Linked DNA regions of Drosophila melanogaster. Changing the gene in region 1 together with any one later gene gives a genetic interaction. Each region holds a gene or a part of one and is shown in the gene's direction. Other genes may lie near its edges.

Region 1 (6,816 bases):
CTGTCCAGAGCCAAAGGCCAGGTGCTCCATAGTTTGCGATGTACGCGAGATTTATGTGCGAAACCAGTTTGCAGGTGGCTGCCAGCCCCTTCCTGTGGCCAAGTCATTGAACCCGCGCCCAGAACTGCACCCAGACTAGATAACTGAAAGAGATCTAGCTGTGTCTATTGCAGGCGGGGCAATTAGCACTGCCATAAAGATTTTGGACTTCTTTTTGCGGCAAATTGAGGTTATTGGGTTAACTTTTTTTGGAATCATGCTTACAGAGATTGGGTTACTAAACAAATTTAAATTGGCGCAAGATGAGTGAAAATAACTCATCACAATAATAAAAAAAGAAGTTTCTTCTTGAAACTCAATGCGATATCTGCGAACGACAATGGGTTAGATGAGGAGCCGGAGAAGATCGAACACAAGGCAGATAGTTCCTCTCGAATGGAACGGACTTCGAACGTGGCTGCTGGGAAGCATTAGAAATGCGCGGAGCTAAAGATTCCCACAGCAACCTGGCAATGCGGAAGTCTTTGGGCTGATTGGAGGCGGCCATTGAACTGTGTCCATAAATCGGGTTTTCTTGGTCTTCCAGTCTCCAGTTGTGGTCCAGGTGGGCTCGCCTTCACAGCGGCCGAGAACTTGGAATCATTCAACGCACGCCATTGGAGCACATCGGTCCTGCGGTCTTTTCGCTTGGGCAACATCATGTGCAAGTTCACCAACCGGCTGTTTGTGTTCGCCCTGCTGCTTGTGGCACTTGGAAGAATTCTGGCCCAGCCCGTTGGCGGCAAGACTAGGCCAGGGAATTCGAGGAACGTGATCAGCGACTTGCTGGACGTCTTATACGACGACTATTCCGAGAATGGTTTTCAGCGCGAGGACATTCTATACGACCAACGGCAAAAGGGTGGGGAGAACTATCAGTTCAAAGTGGATGGGGTCGTCATCGGAATGGCGCCTCAAATGAGCTCCAGCTTGCTCTACTCCATGGCAGAGTCCTACTTGAGTGAGTACTACTGTAATAGAATCGAATTGCCGACATAACACTAATTCCACGCCAGGTGAAATGTTGTTGCGCCAATCTACACCGGATCCAGATTCAACTCAGATGTACGAGAGGGATCCTGAGACCGACACAGACTCTGGTTCCACCGAGGGCGTAACTAAGATTCCTGAGCTAGCCCAGATTAATTTGGAAAGCAGACAACATCAAATTGTAGCTTCTCAAACTGCCAGCCGGTTAGTACAGCACTAATATGTAATTCTGCTTAGAAACTAATTAAAAGATGGTTTTTGCTCAGATCTCCAACTCAACTGCTCCAATTGCTTAAGATGCTCAAAAGTTCTAAGGCCTAAAATGATATCTTTAGATACTATGACAAGAAATTAGTCCTAAGTTCTTGGAAAATACATAGCAAATAAAATCATTCTTCGAATTTAAATTTCCGTTGATCCCATTGGTGCTGTTCCACTGAACAATATTTAAAAAGTTCAAAATCACTGTACAGTACTTGGTATTTTAAACATCCATCACTTTTCCATTCAAAATATATAAATATTGAAAAGCATGACATACGATGTTTTTTTTTTTTTATTTTAACTTAGTGTGTCAACTATCTTTATAAAAAAAATTAAAATTTTCTGGGAATCCAATAGAAAGCTCAGTCTGGAGATGAATCCTCGAAAGCGGAGCTAATTTGCAAGCAAGACTCGGCATCCAATAGTGGATATCTGCAGATCGTCCGATTTGAGAACTCCGAAATCATATGCTTTTCATTCCTATTTTCTTTAGATCCCGGACAATTGATTTCTGTTTTTTTTCTGTTTTGATTTTCATCATCGATTGATTAATTTCCATGAGGACATTGTTTTCAAAGCTTTTAAGACCGCGAATAAATCCAGTCTCATTCAGTAAAGATTCGTGAAGGCAATTTCGTGTGATATCAAGATATATATGTATATTCGGAAATAATGTTCACGTGAACCTCGCGATTTGGAAGTTCAATCCTTTGAAGGATTGAATGATTAGGACGCCATCCTTTATATGTTTTAGATATAAATATCACCCTTCACCTTCTCCAGTTTGATACCTATCAATATTACTAGGGAATGCATTACGACGGAATTCAAAACATCTTGAAAAACCTCCAATTACCCCAGTTCAGATTGACCGTTTTATTGCCTCCCATTTTTATAGTTCCGAAGAAAATTACGAACGCAGAGGCATCATTTTAGATTACCTAGATTGCCAAGTTTCATAAAACAAAACCATCTTTAGATTAGGTTTTCAATATTTCGGGTTTGCTGATTTCGATATCGATAAGAAACTGACGTATGTATGTGTGAAGTTTTAATGGGTAAAAATATCGATATTCTGGCGAAATTTTATGTAAAGCAAAATGTGAATGTAAAAATACTAAAAGTGGTGAGTTCGATAGAGCCGCGTAAAAATATTTTCATTATCGATAACCGAAGTATTATTAATCTTTGCCAAAGACCAGCTTTGGCATTACAATACAATTTTGGGGATAGATTAACTAGTGCAGCCCAGCAGGCAGCACCGTGATTTGCAACAATTTGAGCCTCACTCATTCAAGAACCTTCCAGCAACTAGTTCGCCTAGTATATATACCTGCTCTCACCCAGCTGCACTTGTATACACAATCGAACGGCCGAACAAAAACTACGCAGTAGTCGAGAGCTCCAAATTAATAGAATCCGTCACATAAATTCGCCGCAACAAGTTAAACGAGAATAAAAGCGTCAGCATCGATATATATACATACATATATTCAAAAGTCTGTCGAAACTACAGAATACGTTGCGAAAATGCCGGAGAAGCTGTTGAAAATCACCTACCAGGGCGCTGGACCCCAGAAAAAGATAAATGCATACCTGCGGATGCCCTCCCAGAATTACACCATATTGCGTCGCGAAATCGAGCTGTATCTTTTCCAGGAGCGCCAGTTACCCAAATGCGACGTAAGGACCTTCTGGATCGGTGAGTTTTACAATGAAAATGCCGCAGAGTGAATGTTTGCTATACATACAAACAGTTATTCGCAATTGCAATCGAGTCGCAAAGATTGCAACATATGTGCATGGTATAAGTACATTCGTTTCCATACATAACTGCATCCGTCCGAGCAGTGCTGACCATTTAGCTTTTAAGTCTCGTTACTTAAAAACCAGCCCAAATTATTGCGTACTTTGCCCAACAAAGCAGGGATTCACCTAGATAGTATTCCTGCTCAATGCTTATCATTGGCAAAATTGTGTTGACACATTAGCTGATAAATATGTACATATATATTTTTATGGTACAAACGTGGTCAACATATTAGATGCACTGTTTCATAAATGGCACACATACAAAACATTTTTGATTTTACATATTTCTGAATTCTCGAATTATACATATATATTTTAAATACATCTAACGCGCTTTTTAATTTGTAAAGTATGTGTACATGTACTCATATACATTTACATAGATCAAACGGGTTGTGCTGGTACAACCACAACTGTAGCTAATTTGTCTAACTAGAGCCCTCAGTGATTCACCTTTGATAACAAAACTTCACTGATTCATAATTGATTTTATTTTCCTTTGCCTATTCTAACTTTTGCAGACGCTGATAAAGATGAAATCGAAATAGTCAACCAAAATGACTATGAGATTTTCCTGGCCAAGTGCGAGAGCAATATGCACGTTCAGGTGGCTCCACTGGCGCCCGTAGAGGAGCCAAAGGCCACCAAGCAAGAGGGTTCTTCGGCCAACGCTGAAGCTCCTTCTGTCGACGATCCGAGCAATTTCACCATCCACGACGCCGTTGAATGCGATGGCTGCGGCTTGGCTCCCTTGATTGGGTTCCGCTACAAGTGCGTTCAGTGCAGCAACTATGATCTTTGCCAGAAATGCGAGTTGGCTCACAAGCATCCTGAGCACTTGATGCTACGCATGCCGACCAACAATGGACCCGGTATGGTCGATGCCTGGTTCACAGGTCCAGGATTGGGACGCCGCAGTGGCCGGCGCTCCAGGGGACATTGCCCGTTTCAGGAGACGAACCAGGCAGATCCTGCTGGCGAACCCGCAAGGGATAGTCGCCGTGAACGGCGTCAGGCCCGCCGCCATGCCGGAGTCTTGACTCAGTTTGTCGAGATGATGACCAACTTGCCGCTGAACACAACAACGGCCACGGCACCAGCCGAACCGCAGAAACCGAAGGCTGCAGAACAAACTGAAAGTCCTCCACAAGCTGAGCCCACTGTTACCGCTGAAAAGGCAGCTGAATCCGAGGCCAAACCAACTGAGCCGAAGAAGGTTAACACTGATCAAAGTGTCCCTAGAACCGAAGATCCAGTGACGACTCCACGTTCCACTCAGCCAACTACTCCAGTGATTAATCTGGATAACATTTCGCAGATTGTGCCACCCGAGTACATGAGTGCTGGCATCGAAATCCTTAATAACTTCAGCGAAATGTTTTCCAAGATTATCGATACCACTGAGGGCGGTGATTCGGGAATTTTTGCGCCCTCAACGACTCCCAGTGCTGAGAATAAGAAACCAGAAGAGCAGGGTCAATCCAGTGGCCAGTCGGGGGCATCCTCGGCCAACCAGTCAGCTGTTCCCTCTGCCGCTCCATCGGCTAATCAGTCTAATGTCCCATCTGCTAACCAGTCGGCCACTCCATCAATTTCTGGTTCGATCCCTGATGCTCAGCTTGAGACAGAGCCCCTGAATCCTAAGCCATCGGAAACCACCACCGAAACAGAGCAGGAAAGACGCCGTTCAGACAGCTTGGATCCAGAGTGGCAGCTTATTGACAATGCATACTCTGCAAACAATAGTAACTTGATCAATCTGGACACAACCAATCCCACTGCTGCTCCTCAGGAGCCGGTGCGTGATTTTGGTCAGCTGGGCGAACTATTGCGTCAGCACATGAATGAGGAGGCTCGCGTGGAGCAGGCTTCGGCCAACACCCAGACTGCTCAAGTTGATACGGTGAGTACATCGACCTCGACCACATCGGTGACCACCAATAGCGTCGGCACCTCCCCAGCAGCTCCCGACGACAAGCGCACGGTCCCCGTCTACCACACTGGTAAGTGCCGAATTAAATAACTAATCGCTTTGTATTAATTATGTCTCCTAATTAGATGAAAGCATCAATAAATCGATCCATGCCATGATGGCCATGGGTTTCAGCAACGAGGGCGCCTGGCTAACCCAGCTCCTAGAGTCGGTTCAGGGCAATATCTCAGCTGCCTTGGACGTAATGAACGTATCGCAGAACCGCAACTAAATATTCATATTCAATATCGATATATCTACAATGTATCTTCAATATCTATAGAACCCAATGAAAAAGGGATTTTACTTTATCGTATCAGTTTACTACGTAGCTTAGTTTTTCTGTGGTGCTAGATTTATCTCGTAGCCAAAATAAATGTGAAAATAGATATATGTTATGTTTTAAATAATCAACAAAATGTTATCGTATATATATGTATGTGTGAAATTGCAATAAAGGCACAAAGTAAAATGATTTAAAATGCCTGCTTTATACCTGATATGGTTTTGTTTAGTAGAGTACGATTGACAGACAACAAAAGCCTCCTCCACTTAGATAATGTGTTTATACGTATGGTATAAATCGATTCTGGTTTTTCAGAGTTCAAATCCGCAAAGCACTCGAATTATTTCTTGAGTGATACACAAATCCACAATACTGTGTTTCGGAATTCGATTCGTTTCCTGTAGTATTGATATTCCAGTGTGAACACTACTCGCTTGTCGAAAGAGCCTCAAAGATCTTCTCTAGCTTCTGCTGCATCTGATCCAATAAAATAGTCTGTCGCCAAGCCGGCAACATCTCGCACAAATCTCCGGAGTTCGTAATTTGCAGTCGTAATGGTGGCAATAAATGTGAAAAATTTGAAGAGCTTCTGGTGGTGTGCCTTCCACTGTCGCCGACCGAATCCCGTGTTATATCCGAACATTTGAGATACCATCAGAACGAGGAATCCGGACAATCCGAAAAATCGATGAAGCATTTTCAAGGCGAAGCCACTGTTGATGAAATACAGCGGAAGACCGCTCAGAACGCTACCCAGAAGAAGAGCACAACCGATTATACCTGATGGGCGAAAGATGGAGGCATAAATTATCATTATATTTGGGAAAAGAACCGACGAGAACACACCGTAAAAAGCATGGTTGCTCTTAAAGTGACGAACGGTGGCATTGGGGTCTTCCCGTTTGCGCTCCAGCTTCTGCCATGTCTTGATTCCGATTCCGCCGGCTCCGACCAGGAATGCCAACAGCCCCAGGACGGCGTGCAGGCGGTTGAGGTTCAATGGACCCAACGAGGACTCCAAATATGCGCTATTCCGGACCAGCAATGCTTCGCCCATGAAAAACACAAACTATAATGAAATAGAAGATAGATGGAACAATGATTTAGGACGGGTAAAAATTTCAGGAGATAGTAAACCAGTTTATATTTAGGTCTTCCGGGTACAGAAAACTCTCACTCGAGAAATATATATCCTTGAAACCATTAGATTATTTGTTAACCGTGGCCTCAAACTTTCACTTTTTCACATATGTTTCTAAATCTTTTAATATCCGAAATCAAAATACTTACGCCGATTGTGCAGTAGAAGGCATGTCCGGCGGTGTGCACCAATTTGAGCACCAGACACTTGTAAACAATGGCTACGGTGATCCCCGCCAGAAGCACATGCGAGATCAGTGTGCAGAAGCCAAAGTAGAGGCCTCCATAGGAACCTTGCAATTCGGCAGTTGTC
Region 2 (4,550 bases), on another chromosome or scaffold:
AACAACACTGATGATGATAATGATAAAAATAACGATAAAGCGAATTAGAAAACAAGAAAAAGTACGAGTAAATAGCGTAACGCCGAAAAATAAAACTGTACCGAGAGTTTCGAATTTAACATAGCCACATTTAGACATTCTGGGCCTAGAGATCCGCTATCCTATTATACAGATATGTTTAACCATTCGTCGATCCTCCGCGAAGTAATCCCCCTTCCTTTCCAGACCCTTTTTTTCGATATCCATTTAACTAGTTGTTGTATTTAAAATTTGATCGTTTTTGAAACGAGATATCCCTTCACCGCCTTGACCTGCCACGCCCCTTTTGCGCCCCAAAAAAAAAAAACTGAAGATTCACAATGAGTTTTGACTTAAAAATGTAATTCCACGCAAAATTCATGAAAAGAACGAAAACTAAATACTGCATAAAAATAATAATAATTCATAGTGATAATTGTCTGTGCATCCTTCGGCATGGACTCTACTATATATACACTGATATATATATATAGAAAGAGCAAGAGAAAGAAAAAGAGAGAGAAAGCATTCAACACACACACACACTACACACATGCATACGTACATAGTTAAAAGGGAAGTAAAACAAGAAACAACAACATTGCAAGCAACATAATAACTATACGATTATTATAATTTATATTATTCCCAAATTAAAGATAACAGCCAAACAAATCAGCAGTTTTTCCACTGTGGGCGGTGGTTTTCTCAGGGGGCGTGCAGCTCCCCCCTGAGTCATGTGCAAAAAATCGTGCCAGGGCGGCAACCTCACCCAAAAAACGTCGATCAAGGGCTGGGGAGATGATTCACACGCTGGGAATGCCACCGAAACCAAAAGAGATTTCAAATCACGTTTCAAGGTGTGCCTAAATGAGTAAATGAGTCCATTCCAGGACTCAGCCTGCTGTAGGAATCCCATGAAGGAGTTTTCAAATGTGTGCAGGCTTCTACTTTAATCGTTGTCGACTAGGTTTTATTACAATTATCTTAATAAATGAATTCGAGAGTTCTTAGGCTAGCTACATATGTATATATTAAGGATGGCTACATCTATCGTCGCTTCTTCTTCTCCAGCTTACGAATCTTGTGCAGGCGCGTCCGGACCGGCTCGCCCTCCCGCTCCGTCACTTCGCCGGACTCCGGATTACTTTGGCCATCCGGGTTATTCTCCATCAATACTGCGGCCGAAATGCAAACGAACTGGAAGAGAGCACCCACATAAAGCCCGTATCGGATTAGCAAGCTGAAGATGTCCTCGTCGCCGTACTTGTCCAGGGCTGCGGCGGCGCCCAGACTGTCCGCGGAAGCCGACATCGCTGCGCTGGTATTGTTTATAAACAAAACCCGCGAGGATTAGACAAAAAAAAATAACAACTACAAAAAGTTTGTTTTTTGTATTGGGTAGAGATGGTACCCTGAACCAACAGTTCAGGTGGAAACTATCGATAACTTTTTTAGGTCAAAGTTTTAAGGTTGTTAGCTCATTAACGGCAAGTATTTAAAGGCTTGCACAAAATCTTCGCTTGATTTTATTTAAATTCAATTACCTGGATTATTAAATACATTTTATAAAGTTTAACACTAGTGAAATAAATATCCCATCCCCAACACATTCTTCAGGGTTACCGTTTAAGGTATGTTCAAAACTTTATGGTATATTCCGGAGCCCTACAAAAGTCTTGGTATTTTTTCACACTGGTCTCATAGTCGCGGCTGATAAGTCGCTAATTTTTGCATAATATTAAGTATAAGTCAAAACAAACGTGCGAATTATGTCATGTATTCGGCTAGCGTCTGCCACCGTTCTGGCAGGGGTCCGTCCCCCGCCGGCAGCAAGCGGAGGTGGAGCCTTGCGCCTGTTGACTAAACGGAATCCGGATGCTGCATTCGCACGCCGCCAGTTTGCTGTAGCGGTTGAAAACGGCGGAGGCAGAAAGAAGCCGAATGGAACTTTCAAGCTCGCAGTTTTGGGGGCCACCGTAGGCGCGGCCACCGGATCGGTGTATACGATGTACCAGCGGTGGACAGACGGCAGCTCGCACAAAGAGCACGAGGAGACGAAGCCGACGCGGCTGGACGGGATTCCGGCTGGAGTGCGGATAACCAAGCGCTATGTCAACCCCAAGGACACGTCCGGTTTGGACATTGTGCTGTTCCAGTTCCAGACGTGTCCCTTCTGTTGCAAGGTGCGCGCTTTCCTCGACTACATGGGCATATCCTATGCGGTGGTCGAAGTGGATGCCGTCCTACGGCAGGACATCCGCTGGTCGTCGGTGAAGAAGGTGCCGATGGTGCTCATCCGACAGCAGGACGGCAAATACGTCCAGATGGTGGACTCAAGTGCCATCATATCCCTTATAGCCACCCACCTGCAGGACAAGCGCACCGACATCGGCGAGCTGGCACAGTTCTATCCGCACACCTCCTTCTTCGACGATGATGGCAAAAAGAAGAACGACATATTGAATAAATACTTCCTCATGTACCGCGAGCATACGCCCAAGGGAGTATCCAAGGAAACGGATGAGTAAGTTAACCAGGGTCAAGTAATCTTTTAATCAAATCTTTTAACCTTGAGTGTCTGTTCTTAGAACCGATCGCAAGTGGAGAAGCTGGGCCGACAGCCACTTGGTGCATCTAATATCGCCCAACTGTTATCAGACCATGGGCGAGTCCCTAGAGACTTTTGAGTGGTTCTCGCAAGCTGGCGAGTGGGACGTTCACTTCCCCAAATGGGAGCGCGACCTGATGGTTTACTGTGGTGCCACCGCCATGTGGGCCATAGCCAAGATGCTGAAGCGCCGTCACGCCCTCAGCGACGACGTCAGGTCGCACATGTACGATGCCCTTGACCAGTGGACCACTGAGCTGAAAAAGAGGAACACGAAATTCATGGGCGGAAAACAGCCAAGTCTGGCTGATCTATCGGTTTTCGGCGTGCTTTCAAGCATGGAGGGGTGTCAGACGTTCAAGGATTGTCTGCAAAACACCAGCATCGGTAAATAAGGTTTCTTTCTCGGGTTTTGTACCTTTTTACGAACTTTTTACATATTTCCGCAGGTAAATGGTTTTATGACGTCAAGGCGTTGGTGGAGAAGAATCGTGGGCAGTTGCAAAGAGAACGTATTGAAAACATGGCCGCTATAGCTTAAAACAAATATTTGCCCTTATTTTATCCAAAGATTGTTGAAAATAACCGAAATGTTCATTAAAATATACATTTTAATCAAATCTAGTTTGCCGTTTCGTTTATGGTATCTGAATGTATATATTTGGTCAAAAACGCGTAAGGAGTGCAAGTTTATGGTACAAATTGGAATTAATTTTAGGTTTTATATTGTTATTTTATTTATATGTTAAATTAAAAATGTTTACTAAATAAATACCTCCTGCTAATAAAAATATCCCAAACCGACGTATGTATACCTATCGATAACGTTTAAGCAGGCTGGATCCGATGCTCAACAACGGTCACATTGATTTTGTGATTTTGGTTAGCCGCTTGCAAACTTGCAAATCATTTCGTTGGTTTTTTACTTGGCGAGTTAATTGGTGAATTTCAGCACAAAACATGAGCAGATTGGGCTTTGAGCAATTCCCGGACTACCAGGTGCCCGGCATGAAGCATCCTGATTTCTCGCCCTACGAGTCCAATGGCGGGTGAGTTGCTATTTCCCAGCGGAATCGAGATGTGGAAGAATGTCTCCATCTAACCGGAGTCTTCCCTGTTTACAGCTCCATTGTGGCCATCGCCGGAGATGACTTTGCCGTAATTGCAGCGGACACCCGCCTGAGCAGCGGCTACAACATTCACTCGCGAACGCAGAGTAAACTCTTTAAACTCTCGCCCCAGACAGTGTTGGGTTCCGCAGGCTGCTGGGCGGACACGCTCTCGTTGACCGGATCGATTAAGGTGCGCATGCAGAGCTACGAGCATACCCATCTGCGCACCATGACCACTGAGGCCGTGGCCCAGATGCTCTCCATCGCCATGTACAATCGCCGCTTCTTCCCGTACTACGTGTCGAACATTCTGGCTGGAATTGACAACGAGGGCAAGGGCGTCGTCTACTCCTACGATCCCATCGGTCACTGCGAGAAGGCTACATACCGCGCCGGCGGCACTGCCGGCACCCTGCTGCAACCGGTGCTGGACAACCAGATTGGTCACAAGAACATGAATTTGGAAGACGCCGACAAGATCAAGTTAACCAAGGAGCGGGCCGTGAGCGTTGCCTCCGACACCTTCATCTCTGCCGCTGAGCGCGACATCTACACCGGCGACTCTGTGCTGATCAACATCATAACCAAAGATGGAATTGAAGTACGAACTCTGACGCTGCGTCAGGACTAGCCTGTGGCGAGGATGTTGCCGTTTCTTTTGGTTAGGGGCATTCGGTGGAAACCAGGCATTCTAAGTTAGTTGGCTTCAAATTTTTGTATTTACCCAAAACAACAAAACATCGTAATAAACCGAATCTTTGAGATTTAAAATATGCGGCCTAGTGTGACCAGCTGGTCCTAGAAATAAA

Evidence for each region. A genetic interaction does not mean that the proteins touch.
Region 2: of ref(2)P (region 1) and Su(P), changing one suppresses a phenotype caused by changing the other (phenotypic suppression), as found in Drosophila melanogaster (one study listed by BioGRID).

What each region holds. Positions count from the first base shown.
Region 1 is NT_033779.5:19,539,994-19,546,809, forward strand, and holds ref(2)P (refractory to sigma P), read left to right. Parts: upstream 1-2,474; 5' UTR 2,475-2,823; coding exon 2,824-2,995; intron 2,996-3,626; coding exon 3,627-5,108; intron 5,109-5,163; coding exon 5,164-5,309; 3' UTR 5,310-5,555; downstream 5,556-6,816. Other genes in the region: CG13081 (uncharacterized protein), read left to right, coding at 700-1,000, 1,056-1,233, 1,296-1,350; CG10337 (uncharacterized protein), read right to left, coding at 5,812-6,143, 6,210-6,432, 6,654-6,816.
Region 2 is NT_037436.4:16,609,358-16,613,907, reverse strand, and holds Su(P) (suppressor of ref(2)P sterility), read left to right. Parts: upstream 1-1,708; 5' UTR 1,709-1,790; coding exon 1,791-2,545; intron 2,546-2,609; coding exon 2,610-3,016; intron 3,017-3,078; coding exon 3,079-3,170; 3' UTR 3,171-3,246; downstream 3,247-4,550. Other genes in the region: CG4101 (uncharacterized protein), read right to left, coding at 1,069-1,332; Prosbeta6 (proteasome beta6 subunit), read left to right, coding at 3,590-3,678, 3,754-4,372.